Linked DNA regions of Stegostoma tigrinum. The protein of the gene in region 1 interacts with the protein of each later gene in a biochemical or structural test. Links are inferred from orthologs where the notes say so. Each region holds a gene or a part of one and is shown in the gene's direction. Other genes may lie near its edges.

Region 1 (7,521 bases):
TTCAGTTACTCATTAAAATCATATCAGTATTTTTGTACACTTAAACATTCTGAGTTAAAAATACTGGAATTGGCACATTAAAAGTTTTTGACTGGTCAGAGACATTGAAGGTGGAATGTCAGGTGATGGAAGCTTTTTGAAATAAGTCCCAACTGAAATCCCACGGATTTAATGTGTCCAAAATGCCACATTTTTTCCCCACCAGCCTAATAAGTGGTACTCATGTTTTGCATGATGATAGTTGCCTTGGTATTGATTAATAGATTTCTTTTAACTTATGTCACATATACTGGATGCTTCATTCACTTTAAAGTAGTTCTCAGGGTTAATCTTTTGTATTCTACCTGGTAGGTGATAGCCTCCAGATTTGCACTAATGTTGATGAAGGAAATACTTCCCTTTTCTAAAAAAAAACTAAATAAGCCCTCATTTACTGACACCAGGAACAAACCTCTTGTTTAGATGCTTCTCTTCAGATGCTTCATTTGTGCATCAGGATCAGAATAGAAGCCAGTATACTTTGTTGTATCCTGATCAGAGGACTATTTAGCTTTATGTGATGATTTCAGATTTGTAAGTAATTGTTTCACAAAACTGCAATACCAGCATGGAACATTTACCTACAATGGCTAAATAATAAAATTATATAATAATAAATTGAAAGGAGTTAAGTGTTGTAATAGTCGAAAACTGTAAACTAAAAGTAAAATTTCGAATGGGAGGCTTATGTTCTGATCATTGTTTAGGTTTTCAAGGATTTATTATCATAGAAAAGTCGACAGCAGTCTCGAACCCAAACATTTTAGTCTCCATTTGAACTCTCAATAAATCTTGACAACACATTCAATACTGTTTTAGAAGTACAAATCGACAGAAGTATTCTTAATGGGAAATGAAATAGTTGAAATTATGCATGATTTTAAATCTGTAAAATAACTTAGTGTAAATCACAATAATCCTTACCCGTAATGGAGACATTTTTGTCAGAGAAAAATGCAATTGTAATGTTATGAGCATGTTATTTGATAAAAATATAATTAAAACATATGCACTCTTATAAGATTTGATTAAAATTGTAATTGTAATCATAAAAATATTTGCTTTAAACATTAATGTACATAAAACAGAGGGTGACTTGTGACTTTTTTTGCCTACTGTGATAAACTGCGGTTTAGTCACAAATTAACCGTCATTAAATGCATTTCATTTGCAATTATCTGCAGGAAATAAATTACAAAGCACTAATTCAATGACAAACCAATCTTATACTTCAGCTTAGTGCAGTTCATTTAAAACGTGACTAACAAGACACAGGATAATGATAGTTTCATGGGGAGCACTGTACACTTGACTGCCCTCCCTAACCTTTTCATTACCTGCATTTTCATTCCGAGTCAAATTTTGAGAAATTTAAACAAACAGTGATGCAACATTTCACTGTGTGCTTCACAACATGTTATGTTTAAACCATTAAAACTTCAAAGTGGTGCAAAGTAATTGTAGAACAAAACACACAAGAGAGCTTTCAACACACAAAAAATCTTGAGTGCTTGGACATGGGATGCAAAGAGTAGAACTGAGTTAATTGAAGGATTTCACACTGATAGCAAGGAGTTGGATGGTGGTGTATGTAGATCAGAATCACAGCATCGCAGACAATTAAAGCTAGAGAGGTTTAAGAGAGAAGGTGGAATGAGGCTGTACAGGAATTTAAAACTGAGGATATGGATTCTAATGAGAAGTTAAGGCAGAAAACCATAAGATAATTCGACCATAAGATATTGGTGCAAAATTAAGCCATTTGGCCCCCTCAAGTTTTCCCCACCATTCGATTCAAGGCTGATATGTTTCTCAACCCCATTCTCCTGCCTTCTCCCTGTAACCCTTGATCCCCCTACTAATCAAGAACCTATCTATCTCTGTCTTAAATGTATTCAATTAATTGGCCTCCATAGCCTTTTGCAGCAATGAATTCCACAGATTCAGCAACATCTAGCTGAAGTATTATCCCTTCACTCCAAGGCTGTGGTTTTGGGTCCTTTCCTACTTGTGGAAGCATCTTTCTGACATCCACTCTGCCCAGACCTCTTAGTATTCTGTAAGCTTCAATAAAAGATACCTCCTCAGCTTTTTCAATGCCATTGAGGGTCCTCAATATGACAAGACCCTCATCAACAAGATAATACTTGTATACTTCCTCTGGACCCCTCCAGTGTCAGCATGTGCTTCCATAGATACAGGATTCAAAATTTCTCACAATATTCCAAAAACAGCCTGACTAAAGCCTTATACAGGCTCAGCAGTTCATCCCTATTCTAATATTCTGGTCCTCCTGCACTGAATGCTAACATTGCATTTGTCTTCCTGACTGTTAACTAAACCCGTATGTAAACTTTAAGAAAATCCTAAACTAGGACTACCAAGTCCCTTTGTGCTTCATATTTCCTAAGACTTTCCCTATTTAGAACATATCCTATGCCTCATTCTTCCTACACACTTTCCCATATTGTATTCCATCTGCCACTTCTATGCCAACTCTTCTGGCATGTCCAAGTCCTTCAGCAGCCTCCCCCCTTCCTCAAAACTACCTGTCCCTCCACCCGTTGGGGGATGGGAGAGGGAACTGGAATAAATAGGGAGAGAGGGGGAGGCGGACCGAAGATGGAGAGTAAAGAAGATAGGTGGAGAGAGTATAGGTGGGGAGGTAGGGAGGGGATAGGTCAGTTTTTCCATCCCCACCCCTGTCTGCTTTCCGGAGAGACCACTCTCTCCGTGACTCCCTTGTTCACTCCACACTGCCCTCCAACCCCACCACACACGGCACCTTCCCCTGCAACCGCAGGAAATGCTACACTTGCCCCCACACCTCCTCCCTCACCCCCATCCCAGGCCCCAAGATGACATTCCACATTAAGCAGAGGTTCACCTGCACATCTGCCAATGTGGTATACTGCATCCACTGTACCCGGTGTGGCTTCCTGTACATTGGGGAAACCAAGCGGAGGCTTGGAGACCGCTTTGCAGAACACCTCCGCTCAGTTCGCAACAAACAACTGCATCTCCCAGTCGCAAACCATTTCCACTCTCCCTCCCATTCTTTAGATGACATGTCCATCATGGGCCTCCTGCACTGCCACAATGATGCCACCCGAAGGTTGCAGGAACAGCAACTCATATTCCGCCTGGGAACCCTGCAGCCTAATGGTATCAATGTGGACTTCACCAGTTTCAAAATATCCCCTTCCCCAACTGCATCCCTAAACCAGCCCAGTTCGCCCCCTCCCCCCACTGAACCACACAACCAGCCCAGCTCTTCCCCCCCACCCACTGCATCCCAAAACCAGTCCAACCTGTCTCTGCCTCCCTAACCGGTCCTTCCTCTCACCCATCCCTCCCTCCCACCACAAGCCGCACCCCCATCTACCTACTAACCTCATCCCACCTCCTTGACCTGTCCGTCTTCCCTGGACTGACCTATCCCCTCCCTACCTCCCCACCTATACTCTCTCCACCTATCTTCTTTACTCTCCATCTTCGGTCCGCCTCTCCCTCTCTCCCTATTTATTCCAGTTCCCTCTCCCCATCCCCCTCTCTGATGAAGGGTCTAGGCCCGAAACGGCAGCTTTTGTGCTCCTGAGATGCTGCTTGGCCTGCTGTGTTCATCCAGCCTCACATTTTATTATCTTGGAATTCTCCAGCATCTGCAGTTCCCATTATCTCTATTGTGCCTCCACCCGTCTTAGTCTTGTCTATAAAATTAGCAACAGCGTTCTCAGTTCCTTCATCCAAATTGTTAATACATAACATGAATAGTTGTGTACTCAACACGGATCCTTGCAGAACTCCACTAGTCACTGGCTGTCATCCTGAGAAAAGACCCCTTCATCCCCATTTTCTGCCTTTTGCCAATCAGCCAGTCCTCTATCCATGCCAATGCCTTGCCACTAACACTATGCACCCTGATCTTATTTAGCAGCCTCTTGTACAGCATCTTACCATAGGCCTTCTGGAAACCCAAATCAATCATGTGCACTGGCTGTCCTTTAAAAAAAACTTGCTTCTCAAAGAATTCTGATAGATTTGTTGGGCATGTCCTCCCCTTGATGAAGCTCTGCCTACTCAACTGTATTTTACCATGCATTTCCAAGTACTCTACAGTCTCATCCTTAATCTTACTAACAACTGAGATCAGGCTAACTGGCCTTTAAATTTCTGTCATCTGTCTTCCTCCCTTCTGAAATAGGAGTCTTATATTAACTATTTTAGTCCTCGTGACCTTCTCTGACTCCATTGATTCCTGAGAGATCACCACCATTGCCTCCACAATCTCCTCAGCTATCTCTTCCGAAACTCTGTGGTGTCGTCCCATCTGGTCCAATTAACTCACCCACTTAGAGACCTTTCAGCTTCCCCAGCACCTTCTTCTTTGTCAGGATGTAAATAATAGACAAATGAGACTTAGTGTAGAGCAGAATTCAGGATTTTTTTTCACTGCTTGCGCTTTGACTCCTGTAGGTTCAAGTGGATGGTGTGAAGACAAGAAAAAGTTGGGTTTGTAAATAAGCACGGACTTTAATGCAGCGGTGATCTCAAGTAGGTGATATTGTGGATCCTGAACTGAGCAATTTTGGAGATGAATCTTACAGCTCAGCTAAGGATTGAATGGAATATTTTATATCATTGAATTAAGAGTAAGAAGGCAGTTTTAGAGGTAATAATCAGTATTTTTGCTGCGACCCAAATAAAATGGGATTCATTTTAATCTTACACTAGCTGAAGAATTTACTGTTCATCCATGAACTATAGCAAGAAACCAGTTTGTCAATGTGGAGTTGAAGGTGGTAATAAGAAGTTGCCTTGGGTATTGTCAATGGACTTATTTAAGCTAACTGCTGTTCATTGATAATGTTGTTGAGACCCAGCATATACACAAGGAGAGAAAGGCAGCCCCTTGTTCATGATTAATGTGTGGGCATGAATTGAGTAGTCTTCACTGTGATATATTGACGTTGCTGTGTAAAGTTAGTGATTCTGTAAAGTAATATTAGGAGAAATAACATTTGAGGAGAACAGCATAGTACACCATGTCTCACATCAAGATAGGTCAGAGTGATACTAAGTCATGATCACATGTGACTACTGATTTGAATCTGAACAGGCTTTGTCAGCATATTGAAAGATGAAGACACTGAGGCACACAAATGAGACAACATTCCATAGACCTGGGTGACAATGGCATGTTCAAAGAATTACAGGGGAAAGAAAATATTGGTGGATAAATTCTAACTGAAAATGGATTAGATTTTGGAGAGGACAGTGATGACAATGGCTTTGAAAAAAAAAGACAAAGCAAATAGTTGACAATGTTGTTGAACATTATGGCAAAGAAACATAATCAAGAACTTGGATGAGGAGAAAGTCAAGAGTTGCGGAAGTGGATATCTGATTAGTTGAGTCTGTGAGTGTTGAAGAACAGCTGGAAGAGAAACTACAAACTACAGCATGACGAAGAATTGGAAGAGGAGTAAGTGTACGACTGGGAAGTTGGTGGATGAAAACGAAGACAGCTTTCCAAATAGTCACATTGTTAGAACTATTAATGTTCATTATGTGTCTGTTTTTGGCATGGAAGTAATGGATAAAAGGAATAGATACAGAGACAAGATAATAAAATGTGAGGCTGGATGAACACAGCAGGCCGAGCAGCATCTCAGGAGCACAAAAGCTGACGTTTCGGGCCTAGACCCTTCAGAGAGGGGGACGGGGTGAGGGTTCTGGAATAAATAGGGAGAGAGGGGGAGGCGGACCAAAGATGGAGAGAAAAGAAGATAGGTGGAGAGAGTATAGGTGGGGAGGTAGGGAGGGGATAGGTCAGTCCAGGGAAGACGGACAGGTCAAGGAGGTGGGATGAGGTTAGTAGGTAGATGGGGGTGCGGCTTGGGGTGGGAGGAAGGGATGGGTGAAAGGAAGAACAGGTTAGTGAGGCAGAGACAGGTTGGACTGGTTTTGGGATGCAGTGGGTGGAGGGGGAAGAGCTGGGCTGGTTGTGTGGTTCAGTGGGGGGAGGGGGCGAACTGGGCTGGTTTAGGGATGCAGTTGGGGAAGGGGAGATTTTGAAACTGGTGAAGTCCACATTGATACCATTAGGCTTCAGGGTTCCCAGGCGGAATATGAGTTGCTGTTCCTGCAACCTACGGGTGGCATCATTGTGGCACTGCAGGAGGCCCATGATGGACATGTCATCTAAAGAATGGTAGGAGGAGTGGAAATGGTTTGCGACTGGGAGATGCAGTAGTTTGTTGCAAACTGAGCGGAGGTGTTCTGCAAAGCGGTCTCCAAGCCTCCGCTTGGTTTCCCCAATGTAGAGGAAGCCACACCGGGTACAGTGGATGCAGTATACCACATTGGCAGATGTGCAGGTGAACCTCTGCTTAATGTGGAATGTCATCTTGGGGCCTGGGATGGGGGTGAGGGGGGAGGTGTGGGGGCAAGTGTAGCATTTCCTGCGGTTGCAGGGGAAGGTGCCGTGTGTGGTGGGGTTGGAGGGCAGTGTGGAGCGAACAAGGGAGTCACGGAGAGAGTGGTCTCTCTGGAAAGCAGACAGGGGTGGGGATGGAAAAATGTCTTGGGTGGTGGGGTCGGTTTGTAGATGGCGGAAGTGTCGGAGGATGATGCGTTGTATCTGGAGGTTGGTGGGGTGGTGTGTGAGAACGAGGGGGATCCTCTTTGGGCAGTTGTGGTGGGGGCGGGGTGTGAGGGATGTGTTGCAGGAAATGCGGGAGACGCGGTCAAGGGCGTTCTCGATCACTGTGGGCCGGGGAACCCTGCAGCCTAATGGTATCAATGTGAACGTCACCAGTTTCAAAATCTCCCCTTCCTCAACTGTATGCCTAAACCAGCCCAGTTCGTCCCCTCCCCCCACTGCGCCACACAACCAGTCCAGCTCTTCCCCTCCATCCACTGCATCCCAAAACCAGTCCAACCTGTCTCTGCCTCCCTAACCTGTTCTTCCTCTCACCTATCCCTTCCTCCCACCCCAACCGCACCCCCATCTACCTACTAACCTCATCCCACCTCCTTGACCTGTCCGTCTTCCCTGGACTGACCTATCCCCTCCCTACCTCCCCACCTATACTCTCTCCACCTATCTTCTTTTCTCTCCATCTTTGGTCCGCCTCCCCCTTTCTCCCTATTTATTCCAGAACCCTCACCCCATCCCCCTCTCTGATGAAGGGTCTAGGCCCGAAACGTCAGCTTTTGTGCTCCTGAGATGTTGCTTAGCCTGCTGTGTTCATCCAGCCTCACATTTTATTATCTTGGATTCTCCAGCATCTGCAGTTCCCATTATCTCAGATACAGAGACAATGTGTGATAGATAGTGACTTGAAATGAAGAGTTTAGGTCTTCTTAACTTGGCAGTCATGGAGTTTGATTGTGAAGGTGGATGTTAGCTATTATTGAAATAGTACAGCGAGAGCTGGGAGTGACTAAGACAATCAAGAATCAGGTTCACTTATATCT
Region 2 (7,838 bases), on another chromosome or scaffold:
CGGAACTTCTCTGATCACCCCCTCTTTCACACCCTAAGCCACACTGATTACTTGCTCTTTCACACCCCAAACACCTCTGATCACTTGTTCTTTTACACCTTCTACCCAACTGCTCATTCCTTCTTTCACACCATGAACCTCTCTGATCACTCCCTCTTTTACACCCTGAATCTCTCTGATCACTTCTTCCTTCACACCCCCTACCCCACTGATCACTCCTCCTTTTATAATCTGAACCCTTCCAATCACTTCCTGTTTCACACCCTGGTTTTAAAGACCTGAATCCATCTGATCACTTGCTCTTTCTCCCCCTGGTTTTTATGGTCACAATCTCCTCCAGTCTCTCACTCTTTATAGTTCCTGGTTTTTATAGGCCTGAACTCCTGCAGTCGCCCAATCTCTCCTGCTGGTTTTATGGCCCTGAGCTCCAATGATCAAATGCTGTCGAATGGTAGGGAGTGGCGATTAGATATTTCTTTGTTGGAGCTGGTCCCTGTCTGACACTTGAGTGGTATACATTTTTGTCTTGGTCTATGGAATATGCTTTTCCTGTTTCACAACCATTAAATCTGGCACTCTCCTGATTTATTGGATTTGTGAGCCAGTTGCATTGAAAACTGTTGGGACCAAATTAAGCATCATTCCACAGTTTGCAATGAAAGCTTGTCACAAAAATGCTGTTGCTTACATTGGAACATGACTGTGCCAACATTCAGCAGGTTGGCACCTTACTTTTTGGCATGTTTGGCGTTCTTTCTGGCATGCTTTCCTGCACTCATGATTGATCTAAAGTCAGTCACCCAGTTTGACGGTAATGGTAGTGAGGGATATGCTAAACCTTGAGGTAACAGATTATTAAGAATACAATTCAACTTCTGCTGTTGGCTCAAAATGTTTTATCAATGGCCAGTTTTGAACTCTTGGTTCTGTTAGTTTCCATCATTCCATTGTCACATGGGATTTCTAACTAGTGTACATAAACGATTGAGCTATTGTCTCTGGTTGTGTGTCACCTTGTCCTGCACTATAGTGTAATAAAGTTCTGAGGAAGAGTCACTCGATCTGAAAAGTTAACACTGATTTCTCTCCACTGATGCTGCCAAACCTGCTGAGCTTTTCCAGAAATTTCTATTTTTGTCTGCAATTGAGTGGATTGTGTCAATGAGTTGTGTAATCTGTTTGGTTGATGTGGCTGACATGGATGAATGGTTCACAATGTGTGCAAGCTGTGAGATACTGTGTGTTTTGCAAAAGTGTTGTGTGTGATAGTGCAAAGTAGCATATGAATGCATGGTATGAATTCTGATGATAGAGATCGTTGATTGATGAGTAATTAGGGTGTGGTGAATTACTGACTGTCTGAAGTGAGTGGAGTGTTTGGTAGGAATTGGCATTGAAGATGTATTCACAAAGCTTGTGCACTACCTGCCTCGCAATCAACAGATGTGTGTTAATCACGTATTAAATCCTCAGGTCGGAGGTCATGGCTACCAAACATGTGATAACCCTTTTTTAAGAGATAGGAGTTATATTTGAATGCATTGAATACATCCATTTATGTTGTTTCAAATTATTTTGTTCATGTCAAATAATACTCATTTCTTGGATTAAGATATTTGATCTTTAGGAACCTAATCAGCATCTACAAATCAAAGTTTAATTATGCAATTGAATCTAAAAGCAATTTTAATCTCTATATGTCAGGTACAAATGAGAGGTTATAAAGTGCTTCTTATGGAAAGTGTGGCTAAATGATTATATTACAAAAAGAGCATAAAAGATATTCAGAATTTAGTGCAGATCACCAAATCAGAACAAAAGTGGGGTGTTGCATACTTTGGCTAAAGATATAAAGTACTTAGATGAACACTTGAAATATCATAACATTCATTGCTATGGGCCAAGTGCTGGACAATGGAATGAGTGTATATTCAGGGTTTTTTTTGTCAGTGCAGACTCAATGGATTGATGGGCATCTTCCAAACTGTATGATTTTATGATTCTAAGACATAAACAGCTTATGTAAAAACATGAAGGTTAAACAAATGGAGAATTCTATCTAATTAATATGAATTGCAATACTCAAACACTCTAATTTGGTAAATCTAATGCATGGTTTTTTCAAAATTAATCAGTAAAACTACTGGAAGCTGTTCTCAAGCTGGATTTGATATCACTAAACATGATATAATTTGAAGAATGGTGGTGTTTGAACAATATGGAGAACAGTGACTACAATGTAATTAAATTTCATATAAACTGACATTCATCATTATCGAAGGGATAGCTACGCCAAGTACAGCTTTAGAATGCATGCACACTACAACTGTAGGATGCTGTGTGGAGGTTTCGCTTCTTATTGACACTGCTGTCTTCATGTATATATAAAGCATGAATCTTTAGATAAGATCTGACTTAATGCATAAAACTAAAGTGAGAAACTAGACAAGGCAAACTTCAAAGGGTTTTAGGAAAGAATTACACATTTACTTGAGGAAATTGTTCATTAACAAGACAGTAGAGGACAAAACAATACTTTTGAAAGCATTCCAAAGACTTTCCAATGCAAATTTGTAATCTGGGACTGGAGAGTGGTGCAAAACAGGCAAAATTTGAATTAGTAAACAAATCCATTAAAAATAATATTCTTCTTCTTCAGGTCCCTTCTTTCTTCTTGGCAAGGATTGGGTGCGATGTTGGCACAGTCATGTTCCACTGTAAGCAACAGCATTTTTGTGACAAGCTTTCATTGCAAACTGTGGAATGATGCTTAATTTGGTCCCAACAGTTTTCAATGCAACTGCCTCACAAATCCAATAAATCAGGAGAGTGCCGTGGATGTGTCACACATCTACATATTGTCTCCTGTTTTTGTAAATTTATTCTTCCAGTGAGATCACAGGCTGACATTTACTGCCCAACTCCAATAACTGGTAAACTGAGTGGCTTGCTAGGCCATTTCAGAGGGCAGTTAAGAGTCAACCACATTGCCCTGGATCTGGAGTATTAAGCAGACCAGACGAGAGAAGAATGGCTAATTTCCTTACCTCACTTATATCAGTTAACCCAAAGATTTTTTTACAACAATTAATTTTAGTGTCACAGTCACCATTATAGCTTATGTGCCATTGTCATCTATTTTGGATCATCTGTCATGAAGTCATATCACATCCTGGGCTAATAGTGCACCTACAGAGTCATGGAGTCAGACAGCATGGAAACAGACCATTTAGCCCAATTTGTCCATGCCAGTCAGACATCCCAATCTGACCTAGTCCCATTTGCAGCATTTGGCCCATATCCAGCTAAAGCTTTGCTTATTCACATAGCCACCCAGATGTCTTTTAAATGCTGTAATTGTAAATGTCTTCACCATTCAGCACGCCAACACACTGGACAGCAGAAATAAAGTAGATATAATACTGAATATTGGGATATATTCTTTTGGAACTGTAGAGTAGTACAGTCACACCTGAAGTACTAAATCAAGTTTGGACACCGAGGCTCTACAAAAATCTAAAACCAGAGTCGAGAAAAGTAACCAACTAATTCCTGATATCAGAAGATTGAGCACAAGTGGAAACTAGATATCTGGGCTATTTACCATTGAAGAGTTTGATGAATAGATAAGGTGTTTAAAAAACGGTGGAACAGTTGGATTAGTGGGATTACTTCCAGAGAAAACATAGAAGAAAGACATAGTCCCAAGGTCTAAAATAACAAACATGAGAATTCAGAGATATAAAGAATTTCTTCATTGCAAATAATTTCAAAACTTTGAATAGATACTCAACAGAATCTTACAGGTAAAACTGCCTGCAAGCATGGCAGATCTAATTAGATTCAAAGAATAGAGTTACTGCAGACTTTTCTTTCTGGAATGAGAAGCTAACTTTAGTAAATGTACCTCTTCGTGAATACATATTTTGTGAATACTTGTCTTTTACAAAACAAACAAAAACGATTGAATTGCCAATTTTTAAAAAAAAAGTGTTCTCAATCACTCATTTGGCACTTTAGTTCTAAATTTATGGATTCACAAATTTCACTTTTCTCAAATCATTAACTTATTAATGATTAATTTTTCATGATTAAGGTGGTAGATAACATTTATGGGAATTTTAAAAAAAAGTTGTTAGTAATTTTCCATGCAAGCTTTCATTAATTTTCCCCAGTATGATGCTCTGGTTCATTAGATTCCACTTCAGGACTATGTAATGTTCGGTCTCACATGGGTACTCATCAAGTACAACGAGATTTCCAGCGTGGGGACACAGAGCAAAATCTTATAAGGCTTGGTGCGTTGTGGGCCATGGTGAGAAATCCAAGAAAACTGCGCAACAAGTGCACCATTGAGAGCAACTAGTTGTAAATGCCACAAAACATGCAGTGCATCTCTGGATTGCCAGCACTTGCCTGAGAGCGCAGATAGTCACATATAGATGGTACCAGTGCCAGAGAGGATATTATTCGAGGATATTAACTCTCTCTCTCCGCACAGATGTCTTGCCAGATCTGTTGAGTTTCTGCAGCACTTTGTTTCTCGAGCAGACGGCCCTGGAAAGGGAACTACAATGCCCAGAGGGCCTTTGCGAGCAGACCTGTGACATCAGATTCGTTGTTCGGGATGACCCCCTTGACCCGGAAGTGGATAGTTCGGTAGAGTAGCGCTCGCTCGGCGGAGAGCGTCGCGGAGCTCGGGGTCGCTTTCCTTATTCTTTCCCGCTTGCGGGTGAGTGTGACAGCCGATCCAGTGAGTCTGCCTTGTCGCCGATTGTGTCCCCGGTGTGAGCGGGGCTTTGCGGAGCTTTGATGGGGGAGGAAGAGGGAGCAGAGCGACGCAGAGTCGGCCTTTCCCGAGTGGGCGGGCGGCTGGCTGGCTGGCTGGCTATGGGCTGCTAAAAGCCGGCTCCCTACCGCGGAATATTATACTGCACAACTGCCCCCCTCACACAGCCTCGACAGGACCGAAACCACAGAGTGAGATACTAATAATCTCAGCCTAACCCCGTATGCAGTCCAAGGACGCTGTGCCTGTATTGAATGTTGTATGTATGCATATTGTTAGGGAGAAGAGGGACAGACGGTTTATCGCCGTGCTTTTGTTTCTTCTTTAAACTGTAAACTTCTGCCTCATGGTTTATCGGTTATTCGTGACCTCGTTGAATATTGCTGTCACCTTTACGAAATGGATAATCGGACGTGAGCAATTTTGCGTCCGATTGGGAGGTTCAGATTTGAAGCCAACAACTATGCGTGTCCAAGTTTGTTGTAATCGAAGTGAGATGAATGAGATACGATGCGAGAAAGTGTGAGGTTGCCCATTTTTGACAGCACGAGATTGTCTATATGGGCAGAGGGTGCCGAGATCTGAGTGTCTTAGTGCACGAATTGCAGGAGGTTAGTATGAAACAACAAATTAGGAAACTTGAATGTTACGTTTTGTTATGAGGGGAATTGAATGAAAATTGGGAGATTGTTTCAGTTATCCAGGGCATTGGTGAGACCACGTCTGTGGTACTGTATAGAATACAGGCCACTCTACTTCTTGAAAGGCGTTAATGTGTTGGAAGCAAATCAGAGAAGATTTACTAGACTCATGCTTGGAATGAATGGATTTTTTGTTTTAACGGAAGACGAGACAAGCTTGGCCTGTATTCTCTGGAAGTTTAGAAGAGTCAAAAGTGACAATTTAAATATCTAAGATTCTGAGGGGACTTAACTGGGTGGATGAAGAAATGAAGGTTCTTGTGGGAAAATCTGGAACAAGGGCAGGCGGTAGAAGCATATATGATAGCAATGTTTGAGGCATTCAGACAGACACAGGTACAGGCAGGGAATAACGGGGTATGGACCATATGCAAGTGAATGGGATTAGTTTGGAATGTTGCCATGGTTGGTGCAGACAAGTCCCCTCCCCCCACTGCACCACACAACCAGCCCAGCTCTTCCCCTCCACCCACTGCATCCCAAAACCAGTCCAACCTGTCTCTGCCTCCCTAACCTGTTCTTCCTCTCACCCATCCCTTCCTCCCACCCCAAACCACACCCCCATCTACCTACTAACCTCATCCCACCTCCTTGACCTGTCCGTCTTCCCTGGACTGACCTATCCCCTCCCTACCTCCCCACCTATACTCTCTCCACCTATCATCTTTTCTCTCCATCTTCGGTCCGCCTCCCCCTCTCTCCCTATTTATTCCAGAACCCTCACCCCATCCCCCTCTCTGATGAAGGGTCTAGGCCCAAAACATCAGCTTTTGTGCTCCTGAGATGCTGCTGGGCCTGCTGTGTTCATCCAGCCTCACATTTTATTATCTTGGCTTGAAGGACTGTTCTTGTCCTGTAGCGTTATATATGAAGGTTTAAAAATGAGGTGCCCATTTAAAACTGAGATGAGGAATTTTTTTTTAAGCCTGGGGGTTGAGTCTTTGAAATTCCTTTCCTCAGAAGGTAGTGGAAACTGAATCTCTAATATTTAAGGCAGAGGTAAGTAGGTTATTCGTAACTAAGGGGATGAAAAATTGCCATGGATATGCAGGAATGTAGAGTTGAGGTTAAAATCAGATCGGCTATGATTTTATTGAATGGCAGAGGAGGCTAGAAGGGCTGAGTGGTCTATTCTTGTTTTCCCCTTATATGTAATGGCTTTAATGAGTTTTATCTGTACCAGGTCTGATAACGTGAATGTAATTTTTCTGAAAGAGCTTGATAATACATGAAGTGCAGTATTGGAAACACGTTGTACTATCTACATTGGGACTGGTGTTTATGAAAAGAATGGAAGAATTCATGTTTCTGATGTTAGATCTCTGTCAAACTGAGTTCTTAACTGGTGCTGTATACCCTGAAAACAACTTGAGATGTCTCCATATTTAAGGGATCAACCTTTACTATTTCTGCTATGTCCAGCATGACACCACAACCAAATATTCAAAGTGAATGTTCGTTCTGTGACACCATAGTTCACTCCTACTTCCACCCTAATCCATCCGTGGCACCTTCCCTGCAATCACAAATAGTCTCACACTTGCCCATTAACTTCTCATCTTTATCAAAGGCTCTAAAAATTCCTTCCACATAAAGCTATGATTGAGAGGGGAAGGTTTTAAAAGGGATCTAAGAGGCAACTTTTCATGCAAAAAGGTGGTGTGTGTATGGAGCTAACTGTCAGAGGAAGTGATGACAAGGGGATATATTCAAGGAGTGAATGATTTAACTCCTTGAGTCTTTTCCTTCTCAGTGGGATTGTTGATTTACTACCTAACTAAAAGTGTAACAAAATCTATCAATCTTCATTTTAAACCTAACAATTTATGCATCAGCTGCCATTTGCTGTAAAATTCCACCCCTTTGTTATTTTTTTTGTGTAGCTAATGACCTGGATCTAAGTTTTAGACTCTGTCTTGAAACATTTGATCAAATTACACCTTATATTAATTTCCAGAGAATACAACTCTAGTTGTATATGTCATAATTGTATCTTTGGAGTTCAAGTATTATTTTAGTAAATCTGTACACTTTGTCCAAAGCCAACATATCCTTCCTAAGATATGGTGTCTAGAACTGGACACAGCTTTACATACAATGCTAAAATGCTGCACATGTTGGAAATACAAAATGAAAACCAAATGCTGCAGACGTTCTGGTATGACAGCATCTGTGGAGAGAGAAAAGTGTTGATGTTTCAAGTATAAAAGTTCAGTTCTTTGAAACTGGAGAGAGAAGTGAAAAAGTGACTTTTATATTGTAGAAAAGGGTGGGGAGAAGCAAGTGCAACAAGAGGAACACTTGAGGGCAAGGGAGGTTAGGGTATGATAGAAGAAATGGCAAAATGA

The links. The genes of interacting proteins can lie anywhere in the genome.
Region 2: the proteins of sntg1 (region 1) and plekha1b form a complex in vitro, tested with the Homo sapiens proteins (2 studies listed by BioGRID and IntAct, with this or other methods). The link is inferred for Stegostoma tigrinum from reciprocal best matches to the Homo sapiens genes SNTG1 and PLEKHA1.

Annotation. Positions count from the first base shown.
Region 1 is NC_081358.1:71,008,446-71,015,966, reverse strand, and holds the start of sntg1 (gamma-1-syntrophin), read left to right. Parts: upstream 1-4,512; 5' UTR 4,513-4,593; intron 4,594-7,521. UniProt on the Homo sapiens protein: Adapter protein that binds to and probably organizes the subcellular localization of a variety of proteins. May link various receptors to the actin cytoskeleton and the dystrophin glycoprotein complex.
Region 2 is NC_081373.1:27,987,363-27,995,200, forward strand, and holds the start of plekha1b (pleckstrin homology domain-containing family A member 1), read left to right. Parts: upstream 1-4,818; 5' UTR 4,819-4,980; intron 4,981-7,838. UniProt on the Homo sapiens protein: Binds specifically to phosphatidylinositol 3,4-diphosphate (PtdIns3,4P2), but not to other phosphoinositides. May recruit other proteins to the plasma membrane.